Drosophila melanogaster: one gene and its partner. The gene in region 1 interacts genetically with each later gene. Each region holds a gene or a part of one and is shown on either strand. Other genes may lie near its edges.

Evidence for each region.
Region 2: of sina (region 1) and ed, changing one suppresses a phenotype caused by changing the other (phenotypic suppression), as found in Drosophila melanogaster (one study listed by BioGRID).

What each region holds. Positions count from the first base shown.
Region 1 is NT_037436.4:16,850,570-16,860,061, reverse strand, and holds sina (seven in absentia), read right to left. Parts: upstream 6,312-9,492; 5' UTR 5,537-6,311; intron 4,144-5,536; exon of another isoform or gene 4,078-4,143; intron 3,766-4,077; 5' UTR 3,645-3,765; coding exon 2,700-3,644; 3' UTR 1,350-2,699; downstream 1-1,349. Other genes in the region: sinah (sina homologue), read right to left, coding at 1-804; Rh4 (rhodopsin 4), read left to right, coding at 6,823-7,370; Zcchc7 (zinc finger CCHC-type containing 7), read right to left, coding at 7,846-9,492. UniProt on the Drosophila melanogaster protein: E3 ubiquitin-protein ligase that is required for specification of R7 photoreceptor cell fate in the eye by mediating the ubiquitination and subsequent proteasomal degradation of Tramtrack (ttk).
Region 2 is NT_033779.5:4,028,159-4,035,047, forward strand, and holds the start of ed (echinoid), read left to right. Parts: upstream 1-3,218; 5' UTR 3,219-3,397; intron 3,398-4,264; 5' UTR 4,265-4,517; coding exon 4,518-4,611; intron 4,612-6,889.

The DNA.
Region 1 (9,492 bases):
CTGACAGTCCTCTCCCAAATTGATCTTCTCCAGCGAGAGGAGGAAGTGCCGCCCATGGCAGGACTGCACCATTGTCCAGTCGAGGGCACCCTCCAGATTCACATTGGTGGCCAAAAAGATGATGTCGTTGCCCTCCATGGTGATCACGTTCTCGTGGGAGCTCATCAGGTGCTGGTATACGTCCCTCAACGGTCCCTGCCAGGAGCACTTGTCATCCGGATACGGGCAGAAGTACGGACGGCATTCGCAATCCTCCTCGTGCTTGGTCTTCTCTGCGTAAGAGAGCCGCGCTCTGCAGCCGAAATGCGAATGCTTGCAGGGAAAGATCAGCTTGGAGGCCACCTTCTCCATTGCCAGGCTGCGGATGTTGGTCATGAACACCCGGCAGACGGGGCAAATGGTCAACTTTGAGCGGCAGGTGGAGCAGATGAGGTGGCCACGCGGGCACTGCATAATTGGCGGCATTATGTAGCCAAAGCACACCGGGCACTCGAGCAAAGCCATTAGAAAATCGTCTCTTGCACCACTGCGTGTTGTGTCCAATGGCCCAGTGGCCACAATTCCCGACTGCACAGCCACCGAGTCCTTCCGCCTAGACGGCACCAGTTCTCCGGCAGCGGCTGCGTCCGGGGATTGCCGCTTGACCACCACAACGTGCGTGGTCTCCTCCGGCGGCACGACCAACGCTGGTGCCGATTGACGACGAGTCAACATTTCTCCGGATGCCGTTGGAGTGTCAATAGTCCTTTGCGGACTTACCCGCTCCGGCCACGATAACTGGGGGCGTGAGTTGCGAACAGACATCTGTGCTTCAGCCAACAATCAATGCGCAAGCTATTAATCCTAAGACCTAACAACCAAACGATTCTGAAGAATGAGAGTGCCGATGGTTTTACTTTTTTTTTACTTTTTCTGAACACTGAAATTTTGCTTAAAAGAATTCGAAAATACAATCTGTACCACAATACAACGAAGCTAAAAGTATAATGAGCTACTTTTACTTCGGAGCCTACTTGCTTTAAATCATTTTAAAATCAGCTTAAAAATTTATTTTTGAAATTGGCCTAAGTATCCTAGTAAGATACCAATCCAGCTAAATCTTTAAGATGCTTCGGCGGTGCACCACTAAAAACTTGTGCCATCTATTATTGCAACGTTTTAAAACGCATTAGAAGTAACCCAAGTATCTCAAAGATAATCCAAATTAAACAGATAACTGATTTAAATCGACAAGTTTATAAAGTGGCGTAGCTCTTCTTTGTAATTCAGCTTCCCCCAGATTAATTTCAATAATTAACGAGCATTGTTTACTTTTACTAATCATGTTTATTTCAGTTTTGTAGTTTTGTGTCTGTGTGAGTGATCTCATATGGTAGTGGCGCGGTAAATCGGCGCATTAAAAGCTAATTACGGTGCAGATGCTTAAAATCATTAATTTTTCTTCCGTTTTCGATTGGGAAACGTTGGCCGAATGGAAATCAAAACCAAAACATGAGCCAAACCGGGGAGATCGTCTTAACTAGATAGAAATTTAAACATTAACATTGCTTTATATGTTTGGGGGGACTTGGGGGGAAATGGGAAGGGGCAACTGTCTTTTTAGCATTGCGAAAAAAAATGTTTTCTTTTTTTTTTAGTGTGTTTTTGTTATTTTGTGATGGTTTGGCATGAACAAAATTGCGGGTCGCAGTTTCGTTTAGGCTGCAACTTTCAAACAACTCTCGAGTTATTACAGATTATCGCTATCAAATATTACTTTTCTTTGTGGGTTATTAGGTTTGTTAATTTCGTTAAACTGTTCGTTTTACTTATTACCATTTACAAGTATTGTATAAAATAATTTACATTAACTAAACTAGACTTTGCAGTACATGTTCGAGTGGATGAGTGACCTCCTCGCCTTTCTTGCTGTTCTCCTCGTTTTGGTGAGTGGGTCTGTGTGTTCCTAGCGTTCACTGTAGTAGGTGGTGGGCACGTGGGCACGCGCAGGCAGCTCTGCTCCAGGTGTGTGGACCTTACGAACTAAATTAAACTAAAGCAGAACCCCATGAACTAACAAAACGGGTAACACTGAAACTTTGAAATATATAGTATTGTGTGTGCGGTAACTGAAAAATCATGTCCTAGAACTAGAGTACCAATCGAACCGATTAAACATACAAACATACAGGTCAGCCACGATTTTCGCATTCGACAGGAAAGTGTGTTATACAAATCTGCGAAATCTCACCAAAAATATTTGGCATTTTTCTGCAAACGAGTGAGATTTACACACAGTCATGTGCAAACTAAAAATGAAAATACGAATTTTAAACGCGGTTTTACAGGTTTAACGAACGTGTGCAATAAACACTGAACATCACTTAGCAATTGCTTTAATACGCTTTCCATTTCGCTTTGGAAAATTGTGAGTGTCTTAGCTTAAAAATCAAAGAAAACTGCGATATCGTGCCGAATGTGATAATCGAAGCAGCCTGATATTTCCATAGATATATATACATATGCATGTAAGTGGCTCTTAGAATAGAGAATCATTTTTATAAAACAACTCTGCAAAACTCTTTCTTCTTAATCTCCAGACTCACAATCTGTCCACGAGTTAGACGCCTGATGCGAACAGAGGGCTATAAACTATATATGTATTTGTATCGGAATAGTAAACACAAGAAATGAAAGAACCCGACGAATTGACAGTGCGTTTAGACCAGAGATATGGTCACGTTAATGCCCAGGTTGCCATTGTCGGCGAACAATTGCGCAATCGACGTGTCGAACACCAGGCAGTCCGAGTTGTGAATTGCGGAAGCGACGCCCTCGTGGATCGAACGCGGCATTGCCTCCCAGGTGAGCCGGCGTCGGTTTCCGTTCAACTCCAGGCGATAGACAAAGTTCTCCGCTTCCTTGCGCGACCCGATCAGCTGAACGATGGCAAAGAACTGCTGGTGTCCGTCGTACTTCTCCTGCTTCTCCAGCACGAGCATAAAATGGTGGCCGAAGCAGGACTGCATCATTACCCAATCGACGGCGCCGGGCAGGTTGATGTCGGTGGCCAGGAACACGATGTCCTCGCCCTGCAGCGTTGTGATGCTCTTGTGCGACATCATCAGATGCTGCATGACTAGGTCAAGCGGGCCCTGCCACTTACAGCTGGCGCCCGGGCACGGACACAGGTAGGGCCGGCACTCGCACGTCTCCTCGTGTTCTGTCTTTTCCGTGTAAACCAGCGAGGCGGTGCATCCGTAGCCGGAGTGCTTGCACGGGAACTTGACGTTCGAGGCAACCTTCTCCATCGCCAGGTTGCGGATATTCGCCAGCGGACCGCGGCAGGTGGGGCAGCAGGTGAGCTTGGAGCGACAGGACACGCACACCAGGTGCCCGCTGGAGCACTGCAGGATCGGCGGTAGCACATAGTCAAAGCACACGGGGCATTCAAACAGCGAGGTCAAGTCGGCGGACATGCCCGCATCACCGCCACCGGCGGACGACAGCGAGGAGCTGGACGACGAGGATGTGTTGGCCGAGGACGTGTTGCCGGCACTGGAGGATCCGGTCGAGGTGCTCGTGTTGGTGGCCACTCCCGTGGCACCGGCTCCTGCTGCTGCTGCTGTCGGTTCGCGGCGCTTCGGGTTGATTTTATTGGACATTGGAAGGGTTCTCGCAACGGCACGAATGTGTCTACAATTCTTCTGGGTCCCTGCAATTCTCGCCAGGTTCAGGTTCTTCGCCCTCCCGGTGGCTTCGGCAATGGCTTTCTTGTGCTTCTGTCTAAAATGAGATACAATCACAGGTCAGTGAGTAATGCGGTCAATTTAGTCATAGCATATGTATAATTTTTTTTTCTTTTTTTTGTAATTTTGTTCGTTCAGTGATAAGAAACTCCAAAAAACAATAACCTACAAAACCATACAGATATCTTAACAAAAATAGTTTGTTTCGATTAGGCTTAGTTAATCCAAAAATAACATATATCAACCAACAAAAAAAATCACAGTATAACACACTGCATAAATGCTGGTTTAAATTTGAACATATGTTATGAGCTTTCTATCGATTTTGCGGCTTAAGTTCGGAGCATACTATTGATTTGAATGTTCATTCCAAACTATTGTGCCCACTGGGACATGAGTAATAGGCAAAAATATTTTTCCATGAAGTAATAGAAATGAAATGAATGCAAACTGTGTAAGCAAAATCTACTCGATTGCTATAAAAAATGTTGCCCAGCAAAACTACTATCCATTTGTAATAATTTAATTTGAGCCTTATTAATTTAAAACTTATTTCGCGTAATCACTACTACTAGGTAGTTCGTTTTTCGTGCCGCCCAATAGAAAAGCCAAAGCGATTTATCATTCCTGGCCTTAACCTTGCCGTGGATTCCCAATTGTTGTAATTACCGAAAAAAGAAAACACACGCATTTGCGTGTATGGGAATTGCATTTAAGCAATTACTTAAAGCGGAACGTATCGAACCGGAGTTGGTCTGCGAAAAGCAAAGACACAGCCCGAGGTCGCCGTCACGTCTCCGATCGAAATGAAGGCCCGATTCCGATTCCAACTCCGAGCCCAAGCCCAAAAGCCTCTTGGCGGCACGTGTGGAACGGCGCAAATATGTTGGCTCTTATCAGGCGGAGCTGACGGAGCCGACGCTGATGGACGGCCATTAGGGACGTCGACCCATGGCGGGATTGTGCGATGGTGGGTGTCGTGCTGGTTGTAATGGGTGTGGTTCGGTTTCACGGGTTTGTCCACTTTGGACAGAATGGGCACACATTAGTGTGAACAATATGCTGTGGGTGCTTTGGTGCGTTTATAAGATAAATATCAATATAATAATATAAAGTTTTCGTAATTGTTTAGCTTTGATGTACAAACAAAACTTGTTCTCTTTCCTAACGGGAATATATTTGCTATATGATTGCTATCAAAATTTTGTGTGAAAGGAGTTCAGTAATATTGTTTATATTCGAAAACAAACTCAAACCTAAAAAATAAATAATATGTTTCCTTATTAACCCAAAACAAAAACACATGAAACGCATGAACATACAAATGTTTAATACTTTACCCTATATATTGGAAAAATTATTTGAACATTTGCCATTATGAAATTCGTACCATCGCCCGCATAAACGTAATATCGTAATGAAGAGTGCGTAACGTAACAAATGCAACGAGGATGTGTAGGGGGTGGGTGGCGGTAGGGGATGGCAGCCGCGGGGAGGGAAACTCACACACTTACAACACAGACACAGATCGCACACACATAATTAACAGTTCGTTTACGTTGCGTACCGTTGGAAACGTTCATACGGGGTAAAAATGGTAATTGCCACAAAAGTCATAGCCATGAATATAATTAACTTAGCTTCTGCTTTCATGAGTTGCAAAATGGTAAAATAGAAAACGTAAGTTGCGGAGCAAAGCGAAATGCGACTATCTTTCTTTAATTTATGCCGCCATTAAGTGCGACTAGGCTGCTGTTTAAACAGCAACAACAACTGCGAAATACATAATCGTTGATATGTAAACTTACATGGCAGGCTGCCTCCAAGAAATTGTGCCGAGGTATTGGTGCCCCGCTGCGTTGGTGTGTGTGTGTATGTGTATATTTTATTTTCTTGTTATTTTTTTGTTTCCTTTTTTATCAGTCAGTCAGCCTTTACGGCCATGCACACACACACACGCATACAGCCAGCATGTGTGTGTATATATCCTAGGTGCAAGTTCCGTTTTTTACGTTGCAATTTGTTATTTTTTTAACCGCATATATATATATAACCAATGCAGGTGGTTTTGCTACTGCACACGCACACTGGGAAAATGGAAAAACTGTTTTGATTGCTTTTCGCCTTTTCGTTCACCTTGCACCGAACCGAAACTCGAAATTCAGGCGTGAGCTAATTTCATTTGGCTTTTTATCTAATTTTCTTTAACGCGACCCGCACACATACACATTTATTCATATTTAGCTTTACTAGTTATTTTCGCCTTTTCTGCCTCTGTGTTGCTGCTGCTGCTGATGTTGTGTTGTTGTTGTTGCTGCACAAAAATAAACCATTTGCATTTACACACAGGCAGCGAAATGGGTTTTTTTCGTGTGTCTCACTTTTTCTATATTGCGTTCTTTGATCGTCGCAGTCGGCGTTTATTGCACTTGCCCTTGCGCGGTGTGGAATTCAGTCTTTTTCGGCATTCTCCATGTACTTTGGGCGTGATGTCTGCCTTTAGCTGGTTAATTAATTAATTTACTTTACTATACTGAGTTTCTTCTAATGTCCGCGTCGGTTGCAGAGATGGAACCCCAATTGTCGTCTATTCGATTCCAGATAGTCGATTACACGCAATCGGCAACATCGCAGTGCCTCCTGGTAGCTATCAATTGCTGTCATCGATTACTTAACAGCCTTGCCACGTTTGTCAAATTAATTTAATAACAGGAAAACATCAGTTTTGAAATAATACAAATCGAATCAGGCGCATAATTTTTAAAGGATCAAAGTTAATAATGTAGTCTGTTACTCTTATTGACAACTAAAGCCTAATTTTTAAAATAATTCATTAATAAATACTTTTTTATGATTTATAGTATTTCCAATCAAATAATATAGGCAATACAAAAAATTAAATAAAAATATTGATTGGTGATACCTTGACCTTGTGTCACATCATTGGCGGGAATGTTTAAGAACTTAGTTTGGATCGGGAAATTCGAAGAAACAAATTTACGAAAGAGTAAAATTGCGTTTTACGAATATGAAGTAAATAAATATCCTAATACCAAAAATCCCATTAATCTTCTTCACTTTTATGCATTTCCAGAGGGCTACCTCACGTCCTGCTCCTTCGACTATCTTTCGGACAACTTTGACACCCGGTTGTTTGTGGGCACCATCTTCTTTTTCAGCTTCGTGTGTCCCACGCTGATGATCCTTTACTACTACTCGCAGATCGTGGGCCATGTCTTCAGCCACGAAAAGGCCCTACGGGAGCAGGCCAAGAAAATGAACGTGGAGTCGCTGCGCTCCAATGTGGACAAGAGCAAGGAGACGGCGGAGATACGGATTGCGAAGGCGGCTATCACCATCTGCTTCCTGTTCTTCGTGTCGTGGACGCCCTACGGCGTAATGTCGCTGATCGGGGCATTCGGGGATAAGAGTCTGCTTACACCAGGAGCCACGATGATCCCGGCCTGCACCTGCAAACTGGTGGCGTGCATAGACCCATTCGTCTATGCCATAAGTCACCCCAGATACCGCTTGGAGCTGCAGAAGCGCTGTCCCTGGCTGGGAGTCAACGAAAAGTCTGGGGAGATCTCTTCGGCGCAGTCCACGACCACCCAGGAGCAGCAACAGACTACCGCTGCATAGAACCAAGGACAACTCTACTCTAAGACAACTGACCATGTAACATGAAAGCCAAGGAAAAAGTATAAAATGCCGACAACGAAACTGTATAACATTAATTTTATAATTTGTAGTGTGACATTCTTGAGTTTGAAATAAATAAATAGTAACTTATTGCAAACGAAGTAGAAAATGAGTCCCGTTTTTTATTTGAAATTCGGTTCTTTGATGTCATTATTTTGTTACTATTTCTACACTTACACTTAAAAATTAAATAACAAATTCAACTCAAATCCTAAACACATTTACACAGTTATTTGGAGCCTCTTCATTCCTAATAAAATCATAAAATCGAGTTTTTTTTTCAAAATAGTCAGTTATGTATTTATTCGGTTTTTGGGTAATATCTTTAAGATACCCATTGTGAAATCTGTTGGCATTTGTTAAACAAAATGAAGGTGACCCACCAGGAAATAAATTCCATGACCCTGGCTAATCCTCAGTTGCACATCAGGGAATGCAGTCGAATGACCGCTCGGTAATCGTTGTGCGACAGCAGACCACGCTGCGATCGCTGTAGCACTCGTTTCAGCCGCTCTACGGTCTCTGTGTTGGAGGTCATCTTGAAAAGATCATCGAGGTACTTTAGCGATTCGCGTGACCAGAACATGGACGGTTTGTTGGCGTCCTTGTTGATGCTGCCAGGTTGATTGTGATCCATTTCACTCAACAGACGGTCACACTCCGGATTGAGAGTATGGCGCAGCTGAAGATCGGATCGTGATCGTTGCTGGAGATTATTGTAGGGCATCTGGTCGATCTGTGGACGTCGTAGATTCTGCTGATATTGGTTGTTGTCTTGCTGCTGATGCTGCTGCTGTTGTTGCATACGTTGCTGTTGCACACGTTGTTGCTGGTGTTGCTGTTGTAGACTTTGCTGCTGTTGCTTTTGCTGCTGCTGCAAGCGTTGCTGTTGGTTTTGATGTTGCTGCTGCAGACGTTGCTGTTGCTGTTGCTGCTGCCGTTGTTGATTTTGTGTTTGCTGATCCAGGGCTTGACGTTGCTTCTTCTTTGACATTTTAGGAGGTGGTGGTGGAGCCATGTCCTGCCGAACTGGTGGGAGAGGCGTTGGCGATGGTGGCCCCTTACTAGGCGATTGCGGCTGACTCTGCGTTTTCTTTTGTTGCAGTCCCAACAGCACAGGATCTATGTGCAACGAGGGCAAGCGATTCTTTTGATCCAAACGTCCATAGCTGTTTAGCAGAGAGTCGTAATTCGGATGCGGATATGACGAGAAGATCATTCGCCAATGCTCCTCGATCTCATTGCGCAACTGTGGCGTGGCGTGTTCATCTGGCGAGAAGTCATCGATCAGGCGACGCAATAAGACTAGCAACTGATCGAGATGTGTTTTGCCATTCAGGAGTCCCGCCTGGCCGACGAGGATCATGTTAAGCTGGCGGCGCTTTTTTTCTGCCATCTTAAAACCGTTTTTGGTGTTCATCCCCTCTAGCTCCTTGATGCGCACGTAGTGGCTCTTGGCGTTTCCTAGATTGGTGTTTAGACTGTTGATTCCATCCCGCAGAAAGCGGATCAGCACATCAATACGTTTGGGGGGTTTCTGGCTCTGGAACTCGATGCTCTTGCGCTTGACTTCCTGACTGCGTCGAAGCAGTTTCACTTGCAACTCTTCCTGGTGCTTTTTAAGGCCATATATCACCAGTACATAACCGTAGTCCTTAAAGTCCATCCGCACGCTTACATGACACTGTTTGGCGGCTGCCGCCAGAAAAGTTCGGCCCTCCGCACTGAACAGGTACTCGGATTCTTCGCGCGCCATAATGATTTTGCCCTCGCTTGGAACATCTGGCAGTTCTTCACTGGAGTCCGGATCGGGCGTTTCGTCAGTGCGTAAACTGGTGCTACTGGAGTTAACACACATGGAAATTCCCTGGACGTTAGAGGATAGTTCAAAATCGTCTTTACTTAGGGGTATGACATCGGGTAGAGTCCCCATGGTGCGGACGAGCGGCAGTTGGGTGTTGGGTTGACCATCACTGGTTGTCGAGCTGGGCAGTTCAAAGTGCTCGGAAAAACTGTAATTCGAATCTGAGTCCAACTCATGGGGCGCCAATGGTGTTCTACT
Region 2 (6,889 bases), on another chromosome or scaffold:
GATTAAAAATAATTGGAGAATTGGTTAGCAGTGTTGCCTTGAAAATGTTTCAAATCTTTCAAAATTTAAATGTATGTTTTTTTTTATTTTTTAGCTCTACTGTACTTTCGTATGGCATATGGTTTCGAACCCCGACCGCAGGCTGAACCAATTTTCATAGAGATTGCAATTTAGCCCCAAACCTTAACCTCAATGCCCCGCTCGTTCTCTCTCTCTCGACATCTCTCTCTCTCTCTCTTTTGCAATTTCTTCTCCTTCTGCCAGCTGCCGACGGAACGGAGTTGGGTTCGAAAACCTCAAACCCATAATTAACTTGGCCAAAGCAGACGACAGGCTGCACTTTGAAGAGCAGAAGACTGGAGACAGAAGACTGCAGGCGAGAGTCTGAAGACAGGAGACTGAAGACAGGAGACTGGAGACTGAAGACTGGTACTTGAGACAAGCGATTTAAGGCAGGCGAAAAGACAGTTTCCCGTATTTTATCGATGCTATGAATAAGCAAACTTTGCGTAGTGATAAGAAATTAACTTTGATTAATGTTTAAATATTATGAAAAATCCTTCTTGTGAAACACTCGAGTGTAGCACTTTGTATTTGTTTGTATTTGTTGTCTTTTAAGCGGCTTTATTTTACTTCTTTTTCGGACTTCTTGAACTTGACTGACAGTGCTGTTCCATCTCACTCACTCATAGTGCTTCGCTCTCTTTCTCTCTCAACTGGCGCAACTCTCTTACCCCTCGCCATCACTTCTTACCAATTTTTATTACATGGAGTGAGTGCAACAAGAAGTGGTAGGCAAAAGGAGAATAAGAAGGTAAAAAACAAGAAGTTGCTTAGGTAGAAGAATTGCTCCTTCTCTCTCTGTCTCTCTTTCTCATCTTCCACTTTATTTCGTCTTCTTCATGGATATTCTTATTGTACCTTTTTTTTGTGCTTCTTGTTGTTGTCTTGTTTATTACCTGCTTTTATTTTTTGTTTTCATCTTATGCGCCTACAACTTTACTTATTTTTTATTCTTATTTTTTATATATGTATTAACTTTAATTCACTTGTAATTCAAGCAGTCTTCAAAACCGCAGATCATGTTGTGGGTTCTTAATTTTGCCAGCCAGTTTCTTTTTGAAATTCAACTCCTTCTTCTTAATCTTCATCGTGATTCTGAAAATGTTTTTTTTTTTCAAATTAAGAGTTGAGTTTCATATAGACTTCCTCATCTAAGCCTCTCTTTTCAGAAGAAGTCGTAGATATCAAGTAATGAAAATTGAAATCGATTTTAGGGAGAAGAGTTGTATTTGTAATCTATAAAGCTACGGAAGTAGAAAAATGTTTATCCGTGACTGTCCCTATGGTTAATACATATTTTAACCCAAATTTATGGCGATTAATATGCAAGGAAAGTAATGCTAAGGAAATTACCAGGATCTACGAGTAAACAGCAACATTAAGCAAGGGATAGGGATAATTAAGCTGGATTTTCGTGTGCTCCTAGCGAGGGAAGGAAGAAAAAAATGGGGGGGGGGGAGTGGTTGTGTTGTCTAGTCGTCTTTTCACCTGAGGGAAATGGGGGCGGGGCCAGCCCGCCAACCCAAAGGTCATTTGTATGCGTCTTTAGTAGCGGGACATGTCCGGCGTTTTATGATGAGGAGAAATCACCTTGGGGCCCAAATCAAAAATTCAATAAACATTGAACAGCGACGACAGAACAGACAGAACGAGCAGAAAATCTGTTTTAAAATTATTTACCATTCTTGGGCTGCTTGTAAGTCCTATGCATTCATTATGCAAAGCGCGTGGCATGACTGCTAAATAAAAATATTGAATATGCAGAGCCACTTCAGCTGCTCAGAAACAAAGCGGAAAAAATCAATCATTCGCGGTATTTCTCAAAAGAAAAAAAGAAGAAAAAACCCTACATAATACCAAGACTTAGTGCTACTGTTTGGGTAAATTATAACAATTGCGTACTGATTTTAGTGGATAATCTAAACACTATCTATACTATACTATATACGGTATAATTGTTATTTGAAAGTACAAACAATTTTAAGTTTTTTTTTGTAACCTGGCTCGTGGGTGTGGTCATAAAAAAGTCTAAGAAAGGTTTAAGCTGCTGAGTGTCGTAGCAGTGAGGTTTTCGTCTCGAATATAACGTGTTTTTTAGAAAACGGGTTTACTTGAGGTGTGCAAGAGGAAGGAGGTCTCTTCACAAACTCTTAAGATAACTGGTTTAATGTAGATCGCTACAGGGGGTGCGAAAGAGATGGACATAGCTATGTGCGAACTTAACGAAGTTTACTTGCCTTCAAGCTCGAACTTGTTGCATGTACACTATCGCCGCACCTTTCGCACCACTCTTATACCCGTCACTCGTACAGTTAAAGGGTATACTTAATTCGTTGAAAAGTATGTAACAGGCAGAAGGAAGCGTTTCCAACTTTATAAAGTATATATATTCAGGATCAGGAACAATAGCCGAATCGATTTAGCAACACACTTTCTAACACTTTCGCATTTCGCATTCGCATTTTCACTAGCTGAGTAACGGGTATCTGATAGTCGAGAAACTCGACTATACCATTCCCTCTGGTTTAAAACCAACTTGTTGCTGGCTTTTCTTATTTATATTTTTCTTGACTAATTTCCCGACTGGTTTTTCTTGTTGGCCAAAGAAACGAGTTTTCTTGGAAAAAGGCACTCAAAACCTCTAGGAAAATGCAACATGTTGCTAAAGGCAAATTGAATTTCCATACAAAATTGCTTCTATTCGTTGCTGCCTTAGGCTCATTTTCACCATTTGGGTCCGTTATCGACGAAAAAAATATAAAATATATAAATACGCATACAATGTTTTTAAAACCAAATGAAACAATTTTTTTTCCAAAATGGGTTTACTTCTCCTTAAAAGTTACATATAAAAGAAACTACATGATGATTTAAACTTAAAAACAATTTTAAAATTATTTCAAATTTATTGGTTCTTTTGTTGAAAACATTACATGCCTAAAATATAAAGGCAACATTTATTATTTGTTTTCTGAATATAATCAAACTTAAGAGAAATTCGCTATTATGTTCTCTTAATAAAAGTCGAGTCAAACATGTTAGCTTAACTTAACAGCGCTGTTAACGGCTCTCATCAAACGCGTTCGACTCGAACTTGTGCGGACTGTGTTGTGGAACTTGAATTTTGCGGCTGCGGCTCAAATTTTCGTTTCCCTTTCTCTGTGTGTTTTCCCATTTCGGATCGAACGCTTCGTGGAAAAGTGAGCGCGCGTTGTCTGAATTTCCCGCCGCGTTTTTCGTCGATTTCCGCGTGTGTGCGAACAACAACTCAGCAGCAGCAACAACAACAGTCCCAATTTATTGGGTAAAACGCAGAAAATATACTAAATTTGAGGTATAAAATTGAAATTTATACAAAATTACTGTGCACAGTGTATGTGTGTGTGTGGTTTCAGTGGCAGTGGAAAGACCAAAAGCAACGGTATACAAAATCAAAACAATGCAAGCAAGCAACAATAAATACAAAATAATAGATTTATTTCGAATAAACAACAGTTAAAACTTTAAGAAAAGGAAACGAAGCTAAGATAAATAAGAAAAAAACGCAGCATCTGCGTCATCTCTATCTCGCTCCCTCCCTCCCGTTTTATCCACGATCTCTGACGATCGCTCTGTCCCCCTCGCACTCGCACATCTTTACCGATTTACCTGGGAAACAGGTTTAGCGTCCATTTCGTGTGTATGTGTATGCGTGCGTGTGATTGTGTGTATAACGTGTATTGGTGTGTTTCTTGGAAACCTTTTAAGTGATTTTCTTACCTGCTCAAAAGTACAACAAAAGCAATAAAAACATGTTGCAACTCTAAAGCAACAACAAGCACGAAAAAGTGTGAAGCATAAATGCAGTTATAACTGTGAAAAAGGAGAGGTAGATAAAGGCGAAGCAAAGATATGGATAAATGAGATGAAAAAGAAAACTTAAACAAAGTAAAAAAAACCTGTTAAATTTTTTTGATATATTAATAATAAAAAATATATTATTAATTATTGCAAATTTATGAAAAAAAAAAAACAATGGATGGATACAACTTAAAAGAATTAGTGATAATACAACAACTGCCATAAGGACTTGGATTATAAACATAAACTGCACTTGAATAACTAATAAAAAACAAGAATGCCCGTGGAACCACATACAACATCTTAACCCCACAAAGCCGAGCAATTTCTAATCAACAACACCATTCTTAACCCTTTTCAGTTGTTCTTCTTCGTTTTCGGCTATCCGTTCAAAGTTTCGTGTGCAATAAATAAAAAATACTATATCGTCGAAAGCATAAAAACATTAACCAACGCAATGGAGCGTTGCAACAACACCACTAACTGCGAATTGGAATAAGAAGTCCAGCAAAAGTAGCAAAAATTGTTTTTGCAAAGGGAATTGAGAGTAGCACCCAAAGATAAGCAAAAACAGTAGAAACATATACAAAATATATTCAAAATATAGTCACAAAATGAGGCGAAAAACTACCACGAAAGGGACGGCAATAGTCAATAGCAGGAGTGCGAGGAGAGCAGCAACGACTATATGCAACTTTTTTCTCATCGGTAAGTTTACTTTGTTCGTTTGATAAGAAGCTTTTTGTTTGCAATGGAGTTATATATGTATATAATTGCTAAGAAGATTACCCAGCTTTTCTCGAGCATTATTCCAGAACTTAAATATCTATAGGGGGTATCACTTGAGTTCATTTGTTTATCGGTGGTAAGATTGATAGCTCCCGATAAATCCCAATCTATTCGCTAGCTCACTCTTTGTGTTCGGCACACGCATATCACAAATCAATTAAAAGTTTCGGTTCCGCCCTTGACATACCCTGCTTATGACAGCTCCCCTTTTTCCGCCACTTTCCTCCGGCATTTTCCCCCTGTTTTTTCAAGTCGCCTTTGCTGTTGTCACCTTGCGACGTCACTTTAGTTTTTTGTTGATCTAGGTTGTTGCAGCTTGACGTCAGCGTAAAGTTTTTTATCTGCTACCCAAGCCTCCCCAATTTTCCACGCAATTTTCCGCAGCCCACCCCTTTGTTGGCTCCTGTCAATTGGCAGCATTTACTAGGAAGATATTGAATCGGTAGCTAAAGTAAAGTCGATATTCCATGAAAAAAACTGATTAACCATGTATTTACTATGTCTATATCCACACTTGACAGTCTGAAAGATATAAGTATCGTCTTAATTAAAAATTCCAGCATAATTTTCCACTTTCCAGATGCTCCGCATCAGTTAGGAAATGCTGTTATTATGCAAGAATATTTACTGTGTCACAAATAAAGGGCGCAAAACTGGGGGAGAGGACACAGTGGTATAAGTATAGGAAAAACTTTAGTTTGGCACGCTTCGGCAAAGTTTTTCCCTTCCGCACACATAATGCTTTGCTTACAAAATGCTTTTTAATACTTAAAGAACCCCTGGAAAAGTCGGCAAAGGGGGGGGGCTGGGGCTAAATTTAAATGTGAATTATATCCACTCAATCGGGCAAATCGGTCAAGGGAAGTCGAAAAGGGGAGCAGCCAGTTCCTTTTTATTAATTTGTCTGGCGATTAGTTGGGGGCTAGTCCCTCTGAGTTTTTAACCCCCTCAAAAGATATATTGCACCATTAACTTTATGGCGCTCTCCGCGTTTTCAGCTCGTGTTTTGTGTGTGTGCAATCAGTTAATAAACAAAACGTGTTGATTTGACATCTTAATTGGGCCTTTGACACGCGTTTTCCAACGCTTTTATACGAACTACTCGTAAAAGTCGTCTTTGAAGCTTTAACTGTCAACGCCTCCGACCGAAAAAAAAAACGAGAAATCAATGAACTCTCTATGGAGGCTTTTTAGGCCTCAAGCTTCTGGGGAATTGCTCCACTCGGGGGCATTATTAGATTTGATGACAGTGGCCAAGAGGGAATTGACATTTAAAACAGGCACGCGGATCGGAGGGATCAGACATTAAAAACGCATTAAAAGATTAGCAACGAGGAATGGTGGAAAACTAAAGACCTTTGGCGGCTTAGGATAATAATTACTTGGTAATGTGCAAATGGGCTGAACTAATAACCTTAGCGGTTTCGTGCTTATATATGTAATGTATAAATAGTTTAAAAATATTTAAATATTTATTTAAATAAACCAACATTTTCCAAAACGCCCCTTCCATGATTTATTTTTAGCCATGTCTTGTGTCTTTTTCCCACACCATCTACTTGATTGTCAGCACATTTATCCTGTTGATCCTTGAAGTGCATTCCAATTTGGTTGAGTTTTCCTTGGAAAATCCCCGGTGCCGTTGTGTGTACAGTAAAATGCTCAAGGAGCAGCACAGGATATTGCTTAAGAAGTGCTCGAAAGGCAGTTTGCAACAATTTGTGTGCGTCTCCTTTGGTTTTTATGTTTATTTCGTCTGCCTTTGGTTTTTATTTTCGTTTGTCTACCTGCTAACTGTCGCCCTTTTTCCTGTATTTCCATGCCGCTTTCCCTTTGAGTTTTCCACATTCATTTCATTTCCTGGCTTTTCCAAATGCCTGCGCTCCTAAAACGTTACCTTACCCCGCCATTTTCCCACTTTTCCCTCCGTGTTTTTAGCGCGTGAATTATGATTGTGGCTTAGTTTTTCTCACTTTTCCGGAGTTGTTATTGTCCCTGTTTTTTTTTTTTTTTTGTTTTTTGGTCCCCTTCATATCATTTTCCACACATACACACACACACACTCGCACACGCTTGCTGCAAAAATATCTGCAACTGCTGCAACTTTGAAATTAAAATAAATTAAACAAATATTTTGTTTGTTTCAAACATTTTTTACGTGCAAAATTCAGCGACGTGTGCGGAAATGGGTTGCCCC